Linked DNA regions of Mus musculus: all the other regions are reported to be linked to region 4. Evidence: microRNA targets listed by miRTarBase, many of them from high-throughput screens and not tested one by one. Region 4 holds a microRNA gene; each other region holds the end of a gene's coding sequence. Distances are between the middles of the regions.
The links. The annotated mature microRNA mmu-miR-466f-3p reads CAUACACACACACAUACACAC and lies in region 4 at 860-880, opposite strand. An mRNA with a match to its seed (bases 2 to 7 or 8) in the 3' UTR can be bound and repressed. Matches are read on the target gene's strand: a 7mer-m8 pairs with bases 2 to 8, a 7mer-A1 pairs with bases 2 to 7 and ends in A, and an 8mer does both.

Region 1: miRTarBase lists Tbc1d13 as a target of mmu-miR-466f-3p. Seed matches in the 3' UTR shown: 7mer-m8 at 2,193-2,199 and 7mer-m8 at 2,181-2,187.
Region 2: miRTarBase lists Tbc1d24 as a target of mmu-miR-466f-3p. Seed matches in the 3' UTR shown: 7mer-m8 at 2,717-2,723.
Region 3: the mRNA of Chic1 is a reported target of mmu-miR-466f-3p. The part of its 3' UTR that is shown has no 7-base or 8-base seed match.
Region 5: the mRNA of St6galnac5 is a reported target of mmu-miR-466f-3p. The part of its 3' UTR that is shown has no 7-base or 8-base seed match.
Region 6: the mRNA of Haus2 is a reported target of mmu-miR-466f-3p. Seed matches in the 3' UTR shown: 7mer-m8 at 672-678.
Region 7: the mRNA of Vwa5a is a reported target of mmu-miR-466f-3p. Seed matches in the 3' UTR shown: 8mer at 1,865-1,872 and 8mer at 2,006-2,013.

What each region holds. Positions count from the first base shown.
Region 1 is chr2:30,149,404-30,152,552 of GRCm38, reverse strand. Tbc1d13 (TBC1 domain family, member 13) reads right to left here. Exons shown (of 12, transcript NM_146252.3): 12 at 539-2,853. The coding sequence ends at 2,788. Among named protein-coding and RNA genes, the nearest start is that of Gm31080, 12 kb to the left of the region's middle.
Region 2 is chr17:24,178,712-24,181,711 of GRCm38, reverse strand. It overlaps Tbc1d24 (TBC1 domain family, member 24), which reads left to right. Exons shown (of 8, transcript NM_173186.4): 8 at 317-3,000. The coding sequence ends at 471. Among named protein-coding and RNA genes, the nearest start is that of Atp6v0c, 11 kb to the right of the region's middle.
Region 3 is chrX:103,389,275-103,392,274 of GRCm38, reverse strand. It overlaps Chic1 (cysteine-rich hydrophobic domain 1), which reads right to left. Exons shown (of 6, transcript NM_009767.2): 6 at 1-2,815. The coding sequence ends at 2,765. Among named protein-coding and RNA genes, the nearest start is that of Tsx, 24 kb to the left of the region's middle.
Region 4 is chr2:10,466,609-10,469,608 of GRCm38, reverse strand. Mir466f-2 (microRNA 466f-2) reads right to left here and starts at 934; the gene lies at 841-934. All of the region lies in intron 10 of Sfmbt2 (Scm-like with four mbt domains 2), which reads right to left. It overlaps Mir466m (microRNA 466m), which reads right to left and starts at 2,946; the gene lies at 2,863-2,946. Mir466f-1 (microRNA 466f-1) reads right to left here and starts at 2,665; the gene lies at 2,572-2,665. It also overlaps Mir669f, Mir669e, Mir669b, Mir669d and Mir669l.
Region 5 is chr3:152,818,878-152,821,996 of GRCm38, reverse strand. St6galnac5 (ST6 (alpha-N-acetyl-neuraminyl-2,3-beta-galactosyl-1,3)-N-acetylgalactosaminide alpha-2,6-sialyltransferase 5) reads left to right here. Exons shown (of 5, transcript NM_012028.5): 5 at 255-2,112. The coding sequence ends at 486. It also overlaps a transcript of Pigk not described here. Among named protein-coding and RNA genes, the nearest start is that of Gm40181, 64 kb to the right of the region's middle.
Region 6 is chr2:120,618,823-120,621,971 of GRCm38, forward strand. It overlaps Haus2 (HAUS augmin-like complex, subunit 2), which reads left to right. Exons shown (of 6, transcript NM_025475.3): 6 at 153-2,738. The coding sequence ends at 359. Among named protein-coding and RNA genes, the nearest start is that of Stard9, 8.7 kb to the right of the region's middle.
Region 7 is chr9:38,741,288-38,744,436 of GRCm38, forward strand. It overlaps Vwa5a (von Willebrand factor A domain containing 5A), which reads left to right. Exons shown (of 20, transcript NM_172767.3): 20 at 407-2,050. The coding sequence ends at 486. Among named protein-coding and RNA genes, the nearest start is that of Olfr920, 9.9 kb to the right of the region's middle.

The DNA of each region.
Region 1 (3,149 bases), 20 Mb from region 4:
ATTTTCAGAGTTTACAGTTGGCAGAGGGAAATACTTGTGTTTTTAGCAGTGTGCTTGGTACACACCTTTAACCCCAACACCCAGGAGGCAGAGACCCTGGCCTCAGAGGCTCTACAGGATGAACAAGAGTAGCCTGAACTACATAGCAAAACTAAATAAAACATAGTATTAAATGACCTAAGGAACAATGCGCTGCCGGAAGTGCGTGAGATGGCTGGCTCAGTGGGTAAAGGTGCTCACAGCAGCCCTGAGTTTGCTGGGACCCACATGATAGCAAGAGGGAACCAATGCCAGCTAGACTCCCTCACCCGCAGGCTGCACACAAAGAAATATAATGTAAGAAGATTAATAATAATGTGTGCCCAGGCGCACCTCCTCCTTCCTAAGGCCGTCTCTGGCTGGCCGCAGCCGAACTGCAAGTGTCTTGGCAAGCATCTCCTGGTCTGTCTTAGAACACTCTAAGGGACTCTGGCTCTGTCCTTGCTCCAACTGTTTCCTCTCCTCCAAAGTCTCAAGTCCAGCCAGCACAGCACCGACACGCATGGTAAAGAGCACAGTTTATTAAGGACGACTCATCAACAGCCCTGGCCTGCTGAGCTCCCGGGAGCTGCAGGAGCTCAGGCTCGGGGTTCCCCCTTAAGAATCAAGGGCAGATCCTTCCCTCAGGCAGCGTCCAACTGCGGAGCCACCCTACCCAAGACAAAGTCTCCATGTCCTTGGCCTTCATCTCAAGGACCAAGTGGTGGGCACAGGATGCAGGTCTCCCACAGAAACAAATCAGATGCAGTGATTCCAGTAGCATGGTCCCAGGAAACGGGGCAAGGGGTGGGGTGGGGGAGGCAGGCAAGAAGGAATGAATGCATCCGCGTCCTGGGCAGCATTTGCTGCGTCCCAGTCAACAAAGGGAGCAGTACTGGGGCTGAGCTACCAGCTACCAAGTCCTAGGTCTGGGGGCGGTCAAGATGGCGGGAGTGTATATGGCCTCCCTTATACTCGGCTCTAGGGTAAAGCTGGCAGCCCTCTCAGGCAGGAACGGGGAGAGGATGTCAGGGTTAACCTTGGGGAATAAGACAATCCATATTTGAATTCTCCAACTCCTTTAGCATCCTGGCCACTCCTCCCCAGGTCACTTGCCACTCTGCAATAAATAGCTAGCCTGTGTCCAAATAAATAGTAAAATACGTCCCAGGTGTTGTGTATTGAGAGAGAAGGTAGTAAAAAGGCAGGTAGAGTCCCAGCAGCACTCAACCCAACCTGGCTAAAGCAATGGCCTGGGAAGGAGGCAGCCCTGCCCTCTGCTCTCAGGAAGGCTTCAGGTGCCAGCTACTGGAGCCTCACTCCTGCTGGCCAGTCTCTGGAGAAGGTTAAGAGCCCTTGCTGCCAACCTGCCTTCAGGACTCAAGCCACCTGACCTCCGGAAGAAACATGGTCAGAAAAGTCTATAGGGTTCAGGGAACCCAGCCCCAAAGTCAGAAGATAGATCAAGCACATGACCAGGAAGGCCAGCACCTCCGAAGCCTCCCCCCCCCCCCCCCCCCCCCGCCGCCTCCCCGCTCCGCCTCCCATGGGGGCAGATGGCAGAGGTAGCCCTCTGGTACTGTGAAGCTCCAGGCCTTCCAGTTTAGCCACCCTGGACCCAGAGAAGCTTTCTTTGGTCCCTTGCCCTTGATGAGAACTACACACACCAGATGGGAACATGGCCATCAAAGAGATGACATCACTCCTGAAATGGCAACTCCCAGGCACACAGCAGCCAGGGTATCTTACTCTCCAACTGAAGGCTCTCCCCATCCCTCCTTTCTCCATTCTTGAGTAGAAAATGGGCGAGAGGCTCAAAGCATCACAGGCTGCCATTGGAGCAGGTACTGGGGATTCCTGCTCTGACATAGAGGACCTGGAGGCCTCAGGCTGGGGATGGGAACAGGATGCCAATAAAGTTGGCCTCCAGGGCTTTCTCACTAAGCTACACTCCTGAATGCTGGCCTCAGGGAGCAGAGGGGAGGAGAGCGCCAGGGTAAAGAGGACAGACAAAAGAAAGACAGCAGGAGCCACACACGCCTCTGGCAAAGGAAGAAAAGGGACAGGCAGAGGTAGACACAGAGGGGAAGCAGGGCCTTAGAGGGTTCCCACATACCCTCACCCCACTGCCAGGGCATGTGTGAACACACATGTATACATACATACACACACACATACACACACACACACACACACACACACACACACACACAAAGCAGAGACCTGGGAGACAACCCTACCGGCCACAAGCAAACACACCGGACAGGGACAAACGGTGGCCCTAGAACTGGCAGTCACTCAGCTCTTCTGGGGTGCTTCCCCAGGCAGTCTGAGCACCAACACTCAGAAGTTGTTTCTGGCCCATTAGCTAATTGCCTCCCCTGACCAGGACTCAGGGAAGATGAAAGCACAGGGGTGAGGAGCTACTGGGCAGAGGCATGGCAGGACCCTGTCAGCCTCCTAGGCCCCAAATGGCCCCAGCCCCAGGAAGCCAGTTCAGGAGCTCCGGCCCTGCTGAGCAGTCTGGGTGGAGGGTCCCAGGGCTGAGGTGCAGGGAGTGTGGCAGGGCTGAGCACTGGGAAGGAGCGCATCGCGGCGTGCTCCAGGAGCACCCTGGACCATGGGAACCAGGCTGGGAAGACCTGGAGCTGGCCAGGACTGTAGCTTCCCTTCAGGCTGGCTTTCTCACAGGCTCCTTTGTGTCCCCAAAACAAGGGTGTGGAGCAAGCGCAGTGGCTGCTCTTCCAAAGCTGGGACCCTGCTACCACGTTACTTCGAGTCTTGGAGTTCCTTGGCTTTCTGTAGGATCTGGCAGACGTCTGTGATGGGGTAATCCTGGAAAGCGGAAAGCGAAAGCAAGGTCATGCTCCTGGAGCAGCAGCCACTTTGCTCCACTTGCCACACCCACCACCTTCCCAGAGACTCGTTACCATGGAATGGCACCAGGGCCAGGGACCATGGTGTACCAGACACCCAGAGTAGCCTGCCCCAAACACTGCAAGTCACTAAGGTTCTGCGTCCCAAGGCCCAAAGGGTCTCACAGCCTGTATTAGAACCAGGGTACCCAAAGGCCTCAGCCCTCACGTCTGACACAGAAGCTGGAGCCACACCTATGAACAGCATGTTGCTAG
Region 2 (3,000 bases), not on the chromosome of region 4:
TCGGAGGGGACTTGTGGGTAGCTGAAGCCTCTGTGCCCAGTCCTTGTTGACTACCAGTAGTAGACATCTCAGTTAAGCAAAGGAAAAGGACCTGGGTTGTTTGGGGTAGAGATAGAAACTAAGGGCTAGCAAGCAAGCGTTAGGTAGGGAGTCAGACCTAGATAAATGTGTGCTTCTAGAGGAACCTCTGTAGTTCGAGGGATCTCTCTCCTGCGATTACTATTTAGCAGACCCTTCAAGGACAAAAACGATGGGGTATCTAGGGAAGGGTGGTTGTTGGAGCAGAAAGACATCTGTTCCCCTGCACATCCCACAGGGGGAGGAGGTGGTCAAGCACTCTACGTTGATGGGGACCTGAATCGAGGGCGCACTGGACACTGTGACACATTCAACAACCAGCCCCTCTGCTCTGAGAACTTCCTCATCGCAGCTGTGGAGGCTTGGGGCTTCCAAGACCCTGACACCGAATGACGGGCCCGCACTGATGGTGACAGCCACATTGTGGGGTGATGGGACAGAGGCCCGGCTGCCTCTTCAGGGAGCAGGGAGTGAGTGAGACGTCACCCCCAGAAAGTGGAAAGGTTTGCTGTGCAGTGGGGCTGTTAGTCTCTCACGCCAGGCCTGGCCCTGGCTTGGACTTAGGTTAGGATTCCTGAGCCCTCCTGCTTCTGAGCTCTTGAACCCTCAGCCCTGTCTAGCATCTCTGTAAGAGACACCCTCTGCCCTCACCCAGGGCCCTGGCTCTGCCAGGTGTCCTGTACCCACAATTGCCAAGGCTACATTTCCATGCCCCTGAGCCTCAGCCCCTTATAAGAAAAGGGCAAATGAATCTTCTTGCCAAATGTGGGCCCATGGTGCCCCCCTGCTGGTGCTTTGACCCTGCAGCTCCTCTGAGGTTCCCCTCAGAGGGGTACATTTGCTGCTGTAGTGTAGGGTAGGATTGGGAAGGGCAGGGTCTGTGAGTTCTGCAGCTCCCCCTAGTCTAGAGATGGAATGAGGGCTGGAGAACTGTCTTTTGTCTTTGTGTTTCTGCAGAGCCTGAAGCTCTTGCTGCGCCTCGCTGCGAGTCCACACCTGAAGGTGGCCTCCGGAGAGACTTTCTTTGACCACCTTGGCCAGTCAGCTCCATTTCCAGAGTTCTTCTCAGAGCTGACTAGACTCTGAGGCCTTTGCCTCTCATCCCTGTGGCCTCCTTGAAGTTCTGTAGTCTTGGTGACTCTTGTACTTGGTTCCTCTGTCACAGTGACTGAGGCCCACCAAGCATGGCATGCTTGTCCCCATCCAGCTTTTTGCCTTCTCCCCAGGCCCTGTGCTCCCCTGGACCCGTTCACACAGCATCTGATTCACCTGTGTGACCTGATCCCTCAGCTGGCACTGTGGCCGACCACGTACTGTATCTTCTGTGTGCTACCCCTGCCCCTATTAAGGCCTTCAGGTCTCTGGATGTCTGTGCTTCCTGAGCCCTGTGCCAGCCTGTGCACATAGGATGCCAGCCTGTGCACATAGGATGCCAGCCTGTGCACATAGGATGCCAGCCTGTACACATAGGATGCCAGCCTGTGCACATAGGATGCCAGCCTGTGCACATAGGATGCCAGCCTGTGCACATAGGATGCCAGCCTGTGCACATAGGATGCCAGCCTGTGCACATAGGATGCCAAGGGAGGTGCTGCTTCTGAGGACTCTCGCAAGCTCCTCTTCCCCGTGACCTCCCTCAGCTGGTCCTGAGGGTCTAGGCGCCACAGAGGAAGAGAGAAGAAGCAGTGGCCCAAATGGCTCTGCTGGGGCCATGGAAGTCGGGATCATAAGGACAGGCGCCTAGCTTCCACATGACTGTCTGGCGTGCTTGAGAGTCAGCATGTGTCAGGCCAGTGCTTGTCTCCACGCTGAGATTCACTTTCGCTGGGGAAGGTCCATCCTTCCCTGTTCCACCAATTCACACCAGCTCTCTGCACGGCCACAGTGGCAGAAGAGGCAGGGCAGAAAGGAGCCTCATGCATCTAGAACTCTGGATTCTGCACAGTGGACAAGTTCCCCCACCATGCTGGCTTCCAGGATGGGTTCGCGTGACTCTATAGAGTGAAGAGGAACCACTGTTGCTCACCTCTACAGAAGGTTATAAGCCTCAATGCCCACTTCCCCTGAGCCCACTGCCGAGGCCTAGACCTCCAACTCTGGTGTTCATTTAACACCATCTTGATTTTTGTTTCTGGCAAGATCTTACTAGTTAACCTAACTGGCCTGGAACTCCCTATGTAGCCCAGGCTAGCCTGGAAATTGCTATGTAGCCTAGGTTAGACTCAAAAATCATGATCTCCCTCAGCCTCCTCATTGCTGGGCTTCTAGGTGTTAGGCCCAGCTGAGCGCTTTGAGTTTGACTGCCTCCGTTCTGAGTCGGGCTCCTGCCAGAAGGCCCCCAGGACGTTCCCAGGCTGAGCTCTTGCCGCTCACCCATGCATTACCACTGAGACTCAGAAGCCTTCAGAAGCAATGACGTTAATTGGGAGTATGTGCGGGGCTCTGCAGGGTTCCAGACTGGTGGTGGACCTTGTGTTCTGTGTGGCCCCCACTGGCAGTCCCAGGGGTCTAGCCCAAGGAGACTGATGGATGCTGAGTCATGATCACATCACAAGCAAAGTTCTTAGCTTTTCTCCCACAACATACCCAGCTCTTTAAATTTAATGTCCTTTTTTTTTCTGACTTTTCTACCAAAAGGTGTGTATTGTTTTCTTTATATTTTTATTCTTATCACTGTTCTTATCTGATACTACTAAGTGTTCTCACTTAGTATTTATTTTATTAATGTTTTCTATTATTTATTAGCTTTTGATGTTAAAAAAAAACCAAGCCAAAATGTGATGGCATTGTATAAGAAGTTATATTTTAGCAGCATTCAAACATTTGTTTTTAAAACAAATACTTAATCCAATTTAAGCCCATTCGTTAAACTAACCAAGTTTGTTAATATATAGCATATGCCGTCGGAGCCTCAGAAGCTCA
Region 3 (3,000 bases), not on the chromosome of region 4:
TTCACTAATTTATGGGGTATAAACCACCATGCCAGGCTTTTCAGAATAAGAAAAAAAAAAAAAGTCCTTTAAGTTGAAATCTCAAAGCCTATAGAGATTTAGAAGCTTTGGCAAAATGTTATTTCAAAACTTTTTTTCCTTTGGAAACTACCATGGTAATAAAGGAGTATTATATATCAACAAAATTATTCTCTTTTTTAGTCAAAAATAACTTTCACAAAATACTTGGCTAACCCAATAGAAAAATACAAGTTACATTCTATCCTGAGGTTAAAAGAAAAGAAGTTTGGAGGGGAAGGGTTAGCATTTGCTGTGACTAATTTCAATGAAAAGGAACTTCTTCCCCACTCAAACTACCAGTCACATAAAAAAGAAAAGTAACGAGAAAACTATCACCTGTCAATCAATATACTGAACAATAAAATAATACAGTTATTAGTGAGGAGTTCAAATTGATATGACATGTAATGATAAATATTTTAAATGACAAATACTATTGTAACTTGAATGATACTTGGTCACTTTCATATACAATCTATTCCTGTCTTAATATTTGTTTCATGGAAACAATTCATTACACTTCTTGATTTTTTTTTTTTGAACAAAATGAAGTGTGATTTGTACATGGCAGAAAAAAATTCCTATGATGACTATTTGGTCAAATTCTAAGGCTACAGACGAAATGTAAGATTGCTGAGGATTGACATTCACAAGTAATTTTTTTACCAGTGAGAATTAAAAATTCTATATTATGATGGAAATCAATTTTGGTATTAAAACACCACAGTATGAAGCATAAATCTGATGACATTAGCTGAAACATAAGACATAGATATGTTTTTCCCTGACCTTAGCTATAAAACAAGACATTGGGTATGCATTTTCAAAGGCTTCCTTCTTATCTATAAAAATACACCTTCAATTTTGCAGCAGGCAGACATATTTGCAGGCATACATAATATATTAGAACTTAGAGATCTGGGGTGGCTGGGTGGCTCAAAAAGATTTTGTGCAAACCATTAGAGCCACATATCAAACAGGATGTCCTTCCTCTTTCCACCAAGGACTAAGGATTTCAGATTAGGCATAACTCTTAAAAGTGCCTTAAAAAGGCTTGACCTTGTTAAGCTTGTTCCGTTCACTGAGATGAGCTTACTTAAAAGCAGTTAAGAATAGAAGGACAAAGAGAATAGAATGTATGTCAGTCACTGCAAATTACAAACAATGCCCATATACAGGCATTCACTTGCAGTTGAATTAATGTGATAGAAAAACATTTATTATATTATATTATAATTTCAAATTATAGTAGAATCAAAGTAGTAACATCACTCAATTTAATTATGGAAAAAACCAGAGAAATATGCATGTATCAATCAAAAAATGTGGCCAATTTACAAACGAAAACAATTTTATCTAAATTTTACTTGTCTTTCCTCAATAATTTATAAGTGTTTAAAAAAGATCCCCAATCAGACGGCTGAAACTGTTTTCTCAACTCTGACTAGCCTACTATGTAGGTAGAGCTTCTCTGTGCTCTTTCTCAATGTAGGATACAGGAACTTCAGAAGAGGATAAGCCATGGCTTTCACGGAGGCCTTGATACCTCACATAAGAGGCAAAAATCTCAAGACACTTTGTTTTTTTTTTAAGACAGGGTTTCCCTGTGTAGCCCTGGCTGTCTCAGAATTCATACTGTAGACCAGGCTGTCCTGGAACTCATACTGTAGACCAGGTTGGTCTTGAACTCAAAGAGATCTGTGGCCTCTCTCTGTCTTCTGAGTGCTGGGATTGATTAACGGTATGTGCCCAGCTCTTAAGACATTTAAAGACTGAAATCTTGTGTACCTTCAAAGAAGGGAAAGGAAATGAGAGCTAGTGAGGCTGTAAGATGGGGGTGGAGTGGAGGAGAAATGGAAAACAGTGAAGTAAATGGAAAAGAAGGTTCTTGGTCTCAGGTGTGATGCCTAAGATCTGAAGTAATGATTTCAATTTTAATCCACTTATTAGGAAGGGCACTCCGCCCCACACCTGAAATTTAACATACTCAGTTTGGCTTTGCCACAAAACAGCATGTTAAAGGTCTCTACATTCAACAGGATGCTTACAAACATCATTCATAGTAAAATCTATGTGGAATTGTTGGCAATACATTGATAATAATAATACATTCTGTAAACCATGGCATACCACATTTTACATTATGCAAAGAGACAATATTTACAAGTCTTTAGGAGTTTAAATATTTTATCCACTAACATAAGTGACAATTTAGCAAAGTGCAGGAGGAAACCAGTGCTATTAATTGCATTTTCTTTAAGAGCAGAGTAAAACCATTTCTAAAAGCTACCAAAAGCTTATTTGGGTGTGTCCAGTAAGGGATTACAGAGCATTAAATAGCCTAGAAAAATGATGCATATTTAGAAACAGTGAGTATGAAAATCATAAGGCAGCATGCTCAGAACAAGGTTTTTGTTTTGTTTCTTTAAACACCAGCACTGATGTTTTTAGTGTTAACGATAAATACGGGTATATGTTTGCATTTATTTAAAAATTGAGAGTGCAAAACACAAGCCTCATTTAATAACAAAAAAGATGTGCAAATTTTCTTAAATTAACACAAATAAAAGAGTGAGAAGAATAGTCTACTGTTGTAAAGAATAAATTGAACACAGCGAAGGAGACTGTCTCCATTCCAAGATCATCTACAAGGCACTAAGGGTAGGAAATGACAGATAACACAGAAGAGACTGAAGAAAACTCCTCAGTCGGGTCGGAATATGGGGTATTTTGGTAAGAATTCTATTAGTATTACCTGTAAAATAAAGACAGAAAAGAATATATTGACAAGATATTTTTCATTTAATGTACATAACCCACAAAATCTTGTTGAGTACCACAGGACTGCATTTTCATCGTGGATTACAGGGAGTGATTGAAATGCAAAAAACAGTTATTCAAAGAATTAGGTTATGACCAAACAGGCCTCTTGTTTCCAAA
Region 4 (3,000 bases):
CAGATCCCCTCAGCTCCTTGGGTACTTTCTCTAGCTCCTCCAATGTGGGCTCTGTGATCCATCCAATAGCTGACTGTGAGCATCCACTTCTGCGTTTGCCAGGCCCTGGGCCTACTGACTCTGGTAAACATTATCACCTGCTGACTGAGACCCCTCTCAGGCCAAGTACTGCATAACCTCCAAAACTTGAGGTGACATATCATTCAAATGAATCACTGAGTGCCATTCATGTCTGTGTGTCTTTGTGTGCCTGTATATGATTGTATGTATGGATATGTATATTCATATACAAACAGGCAAATGCACACAAAACTATACACCCATGCACATACACGGGGTACATCCCAGGAATACCAGGCTGATCTCTAACTCATTATGAAGTTAAGCATGAATTTGAACTCCAGATCTTTCTGACTATACCAATCGTTTATATCTGGTGAGTAAAAAGTTTCATTGGCCCAGTACTACATAATTTCTAAAGCTCTAAATCACATATCAATAAAATAAATCGATGAATACCATTCCTGCGTGTGTGTTGATGTGTTCATATGAATGCGTGTATATATGGGTGTGTATGTATATGTATATTCATATACACACATATACATGCACACACAACTATACGCACATGCACAAACATGGGGGGCAAAACATGATTCACAGTTTGATCTCTAAATCCTCATGAATGTAAGCATGAATTTGAACTCCTGATTCTCCTGATTCTGGCAAGCATTTTCAACTAGAAAGTGAGAGCACTCACTGGCCCAGTACTACATAATCTCTATAGTTCTACGTCACATATCATTCAAATGGATAAATGAGTGCCATTCGTGTGTGTGTGTGTGTGTGTGTTACATGAGTGTGTATGTGTGTGTGTATGTATACATATATTCATATACACACATGCACATGCACACACACGTAAACACACATTCACATACATGGGTGGCATCACATGAATGCCAGGATGATCTCTAACTGAAGTTAATCATGAATTTGAACTCCTGATCCTCCTGACTCTGTCAACCATTTTCACCTGGTGAGTGAGACCGTTCATTGACACACTACTGCATAATCTATAAGACTCTAAGTCACATATCATTCAAATGGATCGATGAGTGCCATTCCTGTGTATATGTATTTGTGTGTGTGCATGCATGCGTGTGTATATGGGTGTGTATGTATATGTATATTCATATACACACATATACATGCACACACAAGTATACACACATATAGAGCAAGCAACACACAAATCCCGGGCTGATCTCTAACTCATCATGAAATTAAGCATAAATTTTTACTGCTGTTCTTCCTTACTCTGCAAGCATTTTCACCTGGTGAGAGAGAGAGAGCTCTTTTGGGCAAAGGAATACTCAATCTCTAACCTCTAGGTTGCATATCATTCACATGGATTGGTAAGTGGCAATTGTGGGTGTGTTTGTGTGTGTGTGCATGTTTGTGTGGGTATGTATGTATATGTATATTCATATATACATACATTTTCATGCACACATAAATATACACACATGCACATACATAGGGGTCATCACATTAACACAAGGCTGATCTCTAACTCATCATGAAGTTATTATGAATTTGAACTCCTGATTCTCCTGACTGTGAGAAATGTTTTTGCCTGGTGAGTGAGATGTCTCACTGGCCCAGTAAATTTACATATTATACAAATGGATCGATGAAAGCCATTTCTGTGTCTGTATCTGCGCATGCGTGTATATGTTTGTGTGTATGTATATGTACATTAATAGACACACATGCACATGCACACAAAACTATATACACATGCACATACATTCATGGGGGACATCCCATGAATTCTAGGCTGATGTCTAACTCATCATGAAATTAAGCATGAATTTCATCTCCTAATCCTCCTGAGTATGGCAAACATTGTTACCTGGTGAGTGAGATCTCTCCCTGGCACTGTCCTGCCTAAACTCTCAAGCTCTAAGACACATATCATTCAAATGGATGTGTGTGTGTGTGCATGAGTGTGTAAGTGTGTGTATATTCATATTCATATACACAAATGAACATGCACACACAAGACACACACCTGCCCATATATAGGGTACAGCCCATGAATCCCAGGCTGATCTTTAACTCATTATGAAGTTAAGCATGATTTTGAACTCTGGATACTGATGCTCTGGCAAGCCTTCCCTGGTGAATGAAAAGTTTCAGTGGCCCAATACTACATAATCTCTAAAGCTCTAAGTCACATATCATTCAAATGGATCAACGAGTGCCATTCCTCTGTGTGTGTTTGTGCTTGCGTTTATACGTGTGTGTGTATGTATATGTATATTCATATACACACATGCACATGCACACACAACTATACACACAGGCACATACATGGGGGGCATCACATGAATCACAGACTAATCTCTAAATTCTCAGGAAGTTGAGCATGAATTTGAATTCCTGATTCTCCTGATTCTGGCAAGCATTTTCACCTTCTGAGTGAGACCATTCACTGGCCCAGTACTGTATAATCTCTAAAACTATAAGTCACATATCATTAAAAGTGATCAGTGAGTGTCATTCATATGTGTGTGTTGCATGTGTGTGTATGTGTGTGTGTATGTGTATGTATATTCATATACACACATGCACATGCACACACACGTAAACACACATGCACATACATATGAATACCAGGATGATCTCTAACTGAAGGTAAGCATGAATTTGAACTTCTGATCCTCCTGACTCTGTCAATCGTTTACACCTGGTGAGTGAGAACATTCACTGTCCCCTATTGCATAATCTCTAAAACTCTAAGTCACATACCATTCAAATGGATTGATAAGTGCCATTCCTGTATGTGTGTGTTTGTGTGTGTGTACGTGCGTGTGTATGTGTGTATGTATATGTATATTCATATACACACATGCACATGCACACACAAGAACACACACAGGCACATACATAGGGGCCATCACATAAATCCCAGGATGATTTCTAAATCTTCAT
Region 5 (3,119 bases), not on the chromosome of region 4:
CCTAAGCTCTCTGTTTGATGCTATGCTTGCTTTACATCCTCAAAACCTTTCCATTTTCTTATTACTTCAACACCAGAAAGAAACAAAAACCCATCAGCTGACGTTCTTTTGATGAGGAAATACGAAATATGGTTTGTGTTTATCAGCTTATTGCAGTAACACTGAAAAAGTGTGTTCCATGTCGGGTATGGCTTGGGTGTTTGCATTATTTTCCTCTCTTTTGCTTTAACAGTTGTCCCACTTTCCTCCCACAGGGACCCAAAGCATCCTTCCGTACCCTATCATTACTATGAGCCTTCAGGACCCGATGAATGTACAATGTACCTCTCTCACGAGCGAGGACGCAAGGGCAGTCATCACCGTTTCATTACAGAGAAACGGGTGTTTAAGAACTGGGCACGGACATTCAACATTCACTTTTTCCAACCAGACTGGAAACCAGAATCACCCGCTGTGAATCATGCCGAGGGTAAGCCTGTGTTCTGAGGGGTGAACATGGTGGACAGCGGTGTCCACGCTGTGTGGCAGGAGAGGAAGGACTTAAACTCTAGGCAGGGAAACGGGAACTGAATGGGTGACCGAGAAGAGCGGCGTCCTTCAGCACCATGGACAGATCCCAGCGGCCAGAGAACATTCCAGAACGCTTACATGCTAATGAGTGTTGTCTCTTGGAAAGAGCAACTGAAGCCTTGATTCAGTGACACTGCCATGGCTAGGAACACCCCAGGTCTCTGGGAGTATTGCCTTCGAAACTGAACCGGGAGCAGCCCGCCACTTTTAGTTGCATTTCTTTACAGATACCCACGTCAAAAGACTTTTTTATCAGAAACCTAACCTGACCTATAGTCTCTGTCATTTGTCAGACTTTGTGATTTGTAAAAGGCCTGAAAGTATGGACATGCTTCCGAAGAGCACATCTCCAATGATTTTCATAAAGCAAATGTCTGCTATTTATTTATTGAGAGTTTTTTAGTGTACTCTAGGCAGTATTTTTATAGATTATGATTATGTGGCAATGTATTCTTCCTGACTCTTTAATCCTGAATGGTGGTTGGTATGGGCTAGGATCGGGCTGATGAGTTACTGAATTCACAATGCCCATTACTAGCTTGAAATCAGTATTTGATGTGGAAATGTGCAACATTGTTTGAACCTCTCTGCTTCAGGCAATTTGCTGTTTCATAACAAAAACAGCTATAACACTTTCTAATGTACATAAATGTCCAAAAGAACAAAATTGAAACCCAAAAACTGTGTTATTAAAACAAAAAGATGCTAATGAGAGAAATTTAAAGATACCCTTACTTTTTCTTCAGTAGCAACTGATAATACAAGCTATTTCTCTTTGAGTTCTACTTCCCCTTTCCTTAGAATGTAGGATAAAGTCCCGAGTTCCTCTTGCAAATCTAAGATAGTCAGAGCCTCTCGTTTATAGGAGGACTAGACACTTGGATTGATGTGGGGCTGACAGTAGGAGGAAACTTCCAGTCAGGGTAGAGATGTCAGGGTCCTCTGGGTAGACATCACGCCTCCTCCTGGGGCTCTCTTGCCTAACTACTATCCCTAGATTCTTTAAGAAAGTGAGAAATTGGGGGCAGGGGGTGGAGGCAGTGCCAAGAGCTGCCCATGTTTTGAGAACACAGAACAGTTCCACCCCACCGGCTGCAAGTCTTGGAATATGAAGGACTCCTCTCTCCATTCAAATCCACGATCAAGTAGTACTATAGACTTTCATTTTAGAAACTTGTATCGCTCAGAAGAGTAAGAAATACTAGACTCTTCTTTACATCGTGCCAAAGGGACTTTAGTGTGTCTAATGACAGGCTTGAGGGCAGCAGCTAATGTCGTGAGGGAACAGGCATTCTCTACAAACAGGACAGGACTTGTGAATAAAGTGTCTCATACCACCAGTTCTTTCCCATCTTTTTAATTAGTGATAATGTCCCATGCCCTTTCATTAAGTAGAACTATTCATTATGCAGGGCGCCATTGTGGAGCTGCAGATACAGTCCAGGTATTCAGACAGCAAAGACAAAGTGTTATTGTGGTGTGGCTTGAGTTATTTAAAGTCAGTAAAAAAGAAAAAGAAAAAAATTAAATGGCTGTCCAAGACATAGTGGAATTCATTCTTCAAGTGTCTTCTGAGTTTGTAGGAAAATGAATTTTATTTTTACCATAGCACAACCTCCTGTTTAGTCTTCTTATATACACAGAAGAAGGGTGTAAACTGCACAGTTGATTGACAGGCTACTTCACAATCCCTCCAAGAGATTATTTGTTGAAATATAAGTGGTTCCATTGACAAATCCTATGCTTATGGAATATTGGAAAAGCATAGCTACCAAGGGGTAAGAATACTATCTGACCTGATCTACTATCTTACTGTCTGAGTATCTTTGGGTGGTGTGTGTGTGTGTGTGTGTGTGTGTGTGTGTGTGTGTGTATGTATGTGTGTCTGTATGGGGGGAATGGTGTGCGTATGTGTGTGTGGTTTCGTGTATGGGTGTTGGTGTGGTATGTATGTTTGTGTGCAGTGTGTGTTTATGTGTGTGTATATATGTGTGTGTATGTGCAATGTGTGTGTATATGTGTGTGTGTGGAGTGTATATATGTGGTGTGTGTATGTGGTGATATATATATATATATATATATACATACATATATATATGTATGTATGTATATGGTATGTGTGTTTATGTGTGTATGTGGGGGGCTAGTATGTGTATGTGGGGATGTGGTGTGTGTGTATATGTGTGTGTGGTGTGTGTATATGTGGGTGTGGGTGTATGTGGGTATGTGTGTATGGTATGTATGTGTGTGTGGTGTGAGTGTATGTGTGGTGTGTGTATGTGTGGGGGTGTATATGTGGGTATGTGGGTGTGTATGGTATGTGTGTGTGTTTAAGGGAGAAAAGCCCACAATGAACATCAAGATACGCCCTTTGTCTAATTTCCTTCCCTCAAATACTCAAAAGAATAAAAAGCAACCAAACGCCCAAAGTCTTGGCTCTTTCACAGAAAAATATTTTAAATTCACTTGTGGCTATAATATAGTGTAGCTAAGTGTAAGAAATGATCACTTGGGTCACAGTTTTACCGCTGCATTAAAGAAGACGCCGA
Region 6 (3,149 bases), 110 Mb from region 4:
TGCTCCAGAAGAGCAGCAAGTATACTCTTACAGCCAAGCTGTCGCTCCAGCACTAAAGGACTAGAAAAAGATCCAATGCTAATTTTTGAAGTATTTATTTCTGTAATCAATGACAGGTTTTTTTCTATTTTTCTTTATTTCAAATGTTACAGAGCAAAGCTTTAGCCAAGATGGATATTTTGGTGAACAAGACAGAAGAACTGGCAGAGAATATACTCAAGTGGCGAGAACTACAAACAGAAATTTCCTTGTATATCCCCAAAATGCTAACTGAAGAACGCCATCTTCATGAACTTGACATAGTGCCTCCTTTACCTTTTTTTCCTAAGGCTCACACCGAAACCTCCAGGGCCAAGTGATGTCATCTTTACTTTGGATTAATTACATGTAGTCAAAGAAGTCCGTTTCTAGATTGTTGTGACAGGGATATTGATAGTTTTTCTTGCTAGCAATATTAATGGAATAGTGGAGCCAGAAAGATGTCTCAGTGGGAAAAAGCTCCTACTTCAAGCCTTCCAGCCTGAGTTCAGTCCCTGGGATCCACATTAGCAGAAGGGGATCACTGATTCCCACAGATACTCGATCCTATGGTGTCCACACTTGTGTCATCATATGTATGTGCCTGTACACACAAAAATAGAAAAATGAAAGTGTGTGTGTGTGTGTGTGTGTGTGTATGTATGTATGTATGTATGTGCACGCGCACATGAGAGAGCGAGCACATTGGAGTACATATGGCTTCACTTCTTTACATGTTTTCACTCTCTTTCTTCAGTGAAGCTTAAAAATGATAACTGTGGGGCTGGTGGGTTGGCTCAGGGGATAAGAGCACTGGCCACTCTACCACAGGTCCTGAGTTCAATTCCCAGCAACCACAAGGTTGCTCACCACCATCTATAAGGGGGTCTGATGCCCTCTTCTGGCCTGCAGATGTATGTGCAGCAGAGCACTCACATTGAATTAAAATTGTTTTACTAACAACAAAAAAGATTAACTATATGCATGATAGTTTATTATAAGTGAGTTGAACATTCTTCATACAGAAGATTGTGTGCTATGATTCTGCATTACATCTTTTAAAACCATTTCTGAATTGAATGTTCCTGAATCTGAAACTGTCGTGATTATTCCTGTGAGATTGTAGATTAGCTACATACCAGGACTGTAACCCTTTGAAGACTTCGTAAAGTGGTGGTTCCTTGGCTGACCCATCTAGAAACTTATGTAATAAGAGGCTGAGAAGGGCTCAGTTTGAACAGACTGTACAGTGTAGTTTGTGTGGGATACTTTCTTTCCTTCTGAGAGCCTAGGATGTTGGTCCGTACCAAGTAGAAAGTACCTTTGGTACTGGTCCCTGGCATTGCAGAGCACCTCGTCCCTAACAGTTTTGATGGTAGATAGCATTCAACAAATGTAACAAAGCCGGGTGTGGTGGCGCGAGCCTTTAATCCCAGCACTCTGGAGGCAGAGGCAGGCGGATTTCTGAGTTCGAGGCCAGCCTGGTCTACAAAGTGAGTTCCAGGACAGCCAGGGCTACACAGAGAAACACTGTCTCGAAAAAACAAAACAAAACAAAAAAAACCATGTAACAGCTGAGTTGCTGTACTGAGTCACTGCTGTGAGTGATGACACCAAGTCTCATAACTCCTCTTGGCAGATAGATCACTCACTGAACCTGGCTGTGTTAGGAAATAAACGCTGAGGACCAACAGAGAAGAAACGGAGTCTTCGTGTAAAAGTTTAGAATTCTTTGTTTTGGTACTTCCTATATGTAGCCAAGGCAGAACTTGAACTCACTATGTTTCCCAGGGTGGTCTCAAACACATGATTTTCCTTGCCTCTGCCGCCCTAGTGCTGGAATCACAGACATGTGGTATCATATCTGGCTAAAGTTTAGAGGTTTGTAATGGAAAATACTAATATATTTTACCTACTTAGGGTTATTTTTATTTTATTATTTTAGGGTTATTCTTAAGATGGAGGCAAGTATACTTAAAAGTAGAGATTGTAACAATTGTCTCAAGATTTTCTCACTCATCAGTCCTGTAAGTACTTCGCCTTATGTTTAAGCTAGGATCTGAGTTCCTTTCAAACGTGTGCATTAGGATTTCCTTACTGTTTTATTCTGCACTGTGGGAGTGTAGCAAACCTGCTCATCATGCTCTTAATACAAGACTTGGTGCATAGTAAAGTAGATGTTCACAAGGAAGCAGGGTCTTTACCCTACCCCCAACCTCCAAAAGGGCCCTGCTAAAACAATAGATTATTGTCTTGAAAGTCTCCCGCTTTTACAAATGTGCCATATAAGAGTGGTGTTAAAGTTGGGTGTGGTGACGCACGCCTTTAATCCCAGCACTTGGGTGGCAAAGGCAGGCAGATTTCTGAGTTCGAGGCCAGCCTGGTCTACAAAGTGAGTTCCAGGACAGCCAGGGCTATACAGAGAAACCCTGACTCCAAAACAAACAAACAAACAAAAAAACCAGAGAAACCCTGTCTTCAAAAACCAAAAAAAAAAAAAAGTGGTGTTAAGGTTTTGAACATCACCTAGCCAAGTTAGTAAAATCTTTATTTGTATTTCATCTCAATTTTTTTAACTATTCATTTTCCTTGTATGAATTCTTGTGTGTTTTATGTGTAAATATATTCATTATTTTGACACTATCAATATTCTTTGTGGTTTTGTAATTTTTACTTTTATTAATGACTCAAGCTGTAAAAATAAACTAATTTCAACTAAATGTGGCTCCAATATGAATCCCAAGCAACAGAAAAAAAAATACTCTTAGCTTAACACATACAACATAGAAGCATTCGAGCTGTCTGGCTCACAAAAGCTTAAGATAATTTAAACTTAAATTCTAACATAGAGAGAAAAGCTAATTTTATATCAGTGTGGTCAATAAGTAGTGAGTTTGTTTATAGAAGACAGTTACTCGGGATGGAGAGAGAATTGGATTCAACAATCCTCTGGCCTCTGCTCGCCAAATATTGAGAGTACAGGCATATGTCACTGTGTCTGGCTTGAACAAGTGTTTTTATTCTTGTGAAACTAGAGGGCAGTTCTAAGGACAGGCAAGCTACAGATATCTATAGTTTCATGGAAGAAGAAGATGGATAAGAAGAGAAAGCTGAGACTGGTGAGATGACTC
Region 7 (3,149 bases), not on the chromosome of region 4:
TCTGTGTTGCAGAGCACTCAAGAGTCCCCATGGATGCCCAACCAGGCTATCTCAGAACATGGTCTGTTCCTCCAGCTGATTCTTCCTTTTCAGGATTAGGGCAAAGCATGTACTTGGTAGTTGGGATAAGCTGAGCAAAAGGAAGGAGCACAGGTGTGGATGCCTAGCTGAATAAGACTATCCCCAGACATGTAGGAAGTGTCCTGGATGTTTATTTTATCCTTGTTGCTGTGTTCCTGTGGACAGAAATGACAAAAGCAGAATCAGAAGAAAGGGGGAAGAGCTGGGGTTACTACAGGAAGCTAAATATAGACTGAAATGGGAAGTAGGAATGACTGAGGGAGGCTGAGGAAAGAGCCTCCCTCTTCTCTCCCACAGTTCTGAACTCTTGTTTCCTTCCTCACAGGTTCCTCCATCCCCATGCTTGTGCAAGCTGCCAATAGTCTCCTGAAATTATCTGTGAATCCTGCTGTCTTTGGCGTCTAAACATGTCACCCATGAAAGGAAAGCCTTTTCTGGCGACCACTGAGTCCCTTATTTTCTATCCCTATCATTTCTTTTGTCAGAAGTTAACATAGTCTCCCAACATGTTTTCTTCTTTGAGGATTTTATTTTATTCATATGCAGAATGACACACGGAGTTTCGAGACCATTTACAATATAATTACAATATAATGATTGGCATGAGATCTATAGTAAGCATGCAGCATTAACCATGAGCAATGCTTAAATTAATACCCTGCATTATTGTTATCCATTCTCTATGCAGAGCCATGTAGTATGGTCAACAAATGGCTTTAAACTCATAGAATAGCCCTACCAGTTAGCACAGACATGATGGATGCTCCTCAGTTGAGGCAGTACTACTAGGACTATGTGTCCTGAGTACCTCATGCTGTTATGAATTTTTGCCCTGCCCATTGCCTTCACATCCCTCTTAATCTAAGGATTGTATGAAAAGTCTAAAGTGGCTTCCAGCCCCTCACTGGGGAGTATCATTGACATTAAACAATAATAATGCCTGATATCTTTTAGGCATTGTTGCTGGAGCAGATTAGTGATCCAAGTACTACCATAGGAAAGAACTTAAAAAGATGTGGATTTTCAGCAATGTTCACCATCCTTAAAACCTTTATTTGGAAAAACAAAGTTTTTAGTAAGCCTATGTTAAGATTTTTTTTTTGATTGTTTGTTATTGATACTGTTTTAAAAAATCTTAGTGAACATTTTGAACTTCTGTAATGCACACACATATTCATTAAACTATGGACATTTCATGGTCAGAGAACAAGAAAAATGGCAACATTGGCTAACATGAATCTCACTGAGGCTGGACTGCTCCTGATTGACTTGTTATGTCTAGTTTTGCCCTCAGCTTTCTGATATGATTTAATAAGAATTGCTGATGTCTAGGTAAACCTTCTTAGTATTTAAAGTAGTTAAGACTGACTTTTATATAAAAGTTCAGATTTGTGACTCATTGGAGATTTTTGTATGACTACTCTTAAAGATAAACACAATAATTAGTCCTTCCTTCGTAAGTGCAAATTGCTGCCTGAGAGTAAGAGGAGCTGGCTGAGAAAACTCCTTTGCTTACTCACACTTTTTAAATCTATAAAAAGTTGCTTAGTTATGAATGCACATGGGTTCTTGGGAATACTTTCTTTTATTTACCTGTACTATAAAATGTTATTTCTTGTAAAGATATTATATAACATCCTGGAAATTTTTTCATAGTCAGTCACTAGAAGGAAAATAGAAAGTACTAAAACTGTAATTTTATACTGTCTAAAAGGTTTTTCTGGGATATATAAGAGATGGGAAAAATAATGTTGAAACTTTGCTTCTTCCACCTCCAAGTATGTGTGTATATATTTATACATGTGCTTGTATGTATGTATATGTGTAAAGTTTGTGAATTGGAACTTTGTTCCATCTATCAAATTTATATGTATGTTATATGTAAAGCTTGTGTGGGTATGTGTTGGAGCTTATTCCAACCAACTGTGTATATATGTGTGGATATGTGCAAAATGCTTTTGAGCCTGCTAGTTCAAACTTTGTTTTAGTCACCTACCAGCTACATACATACATGTGCATATGTATGTATATATGTATATATATACACATATATGTGTGTGTGTGTGTGTGTGTGTGTGTGAGTGTGTGTGTGTATGTATGTATGTGTGTATGTGTGTATGTGTGTATGTGTGTATGTGTGTATGTGTGGAGCTATGGTCCACCCATTCCATCTGTCTGTCTCTCTCTCTGTCAGTATGTATGTATGTATGTATATATTTGTATGTATGAAGTTTTTAGAGTCTGGCTTTTGCTTCATTTACTCAGTGTGTGTGTGTGTGTGTGTGTGTGTGTGTGTGTGTGTGTGTGAAAATTTTCTCTTTCCTTTTGTTTCTCACAACTTCTAGGAGTTAAAAGAGTTCAAAGTTTTTCTCTGTCGATGGGGAGTACCAGCCCCAGTACATTATGCTTTGTTCCCTCAGAGAAAAGTCTGCTGATTACTTCCTGTAATCGCTGACATGGGAAACAACCTCCATTGATATCTTGATCATGCCCTGTCAGCTGCTCTCAGCAACCTCTCCACGGGCTTTCTGCTGCTGTTTACCCTCTGGCTGTCAAAGCTACTAAATGGCAACTCACTTTTGCTCTAGAATGATTATCAGGACCATAGTAGTAAGCTTTATGTTCATAAGAATTGGATGAAAGTTGAAAATCAACATGAAGGTAACAGAAAGACAGAAGCATTGCCCATGCATTTCCCATTTCAAAACTACTATGGATATCTTGAATAGATTTAGTTTTTTATTTTTGACTATATCTCATGTCTTTGTTTACATTTTGTAACTAATACTGGTTTAACTAATACAAGGAGATAAGTGTTTCTCCTTAATCTCTTCACTCCTTGTAAGATGACTGGGAATTCTCAGATGAAGCCTGGGCTATGAGGTTCCTTGCCAGGCTCAACTTAAGAAATAGAGAAAATCAGCTAGGATTAAGGATGCTTGCGTCGATCAGTGTTCTTTCTTCTTTTCTTCTTTTCTGACACTGTGACAAAATACTTGAGAAAATTAACTTAATGGAGAAAAGATTTTGATCAGGAGGTGACCCAGTGTACAAAATACATGTGTACT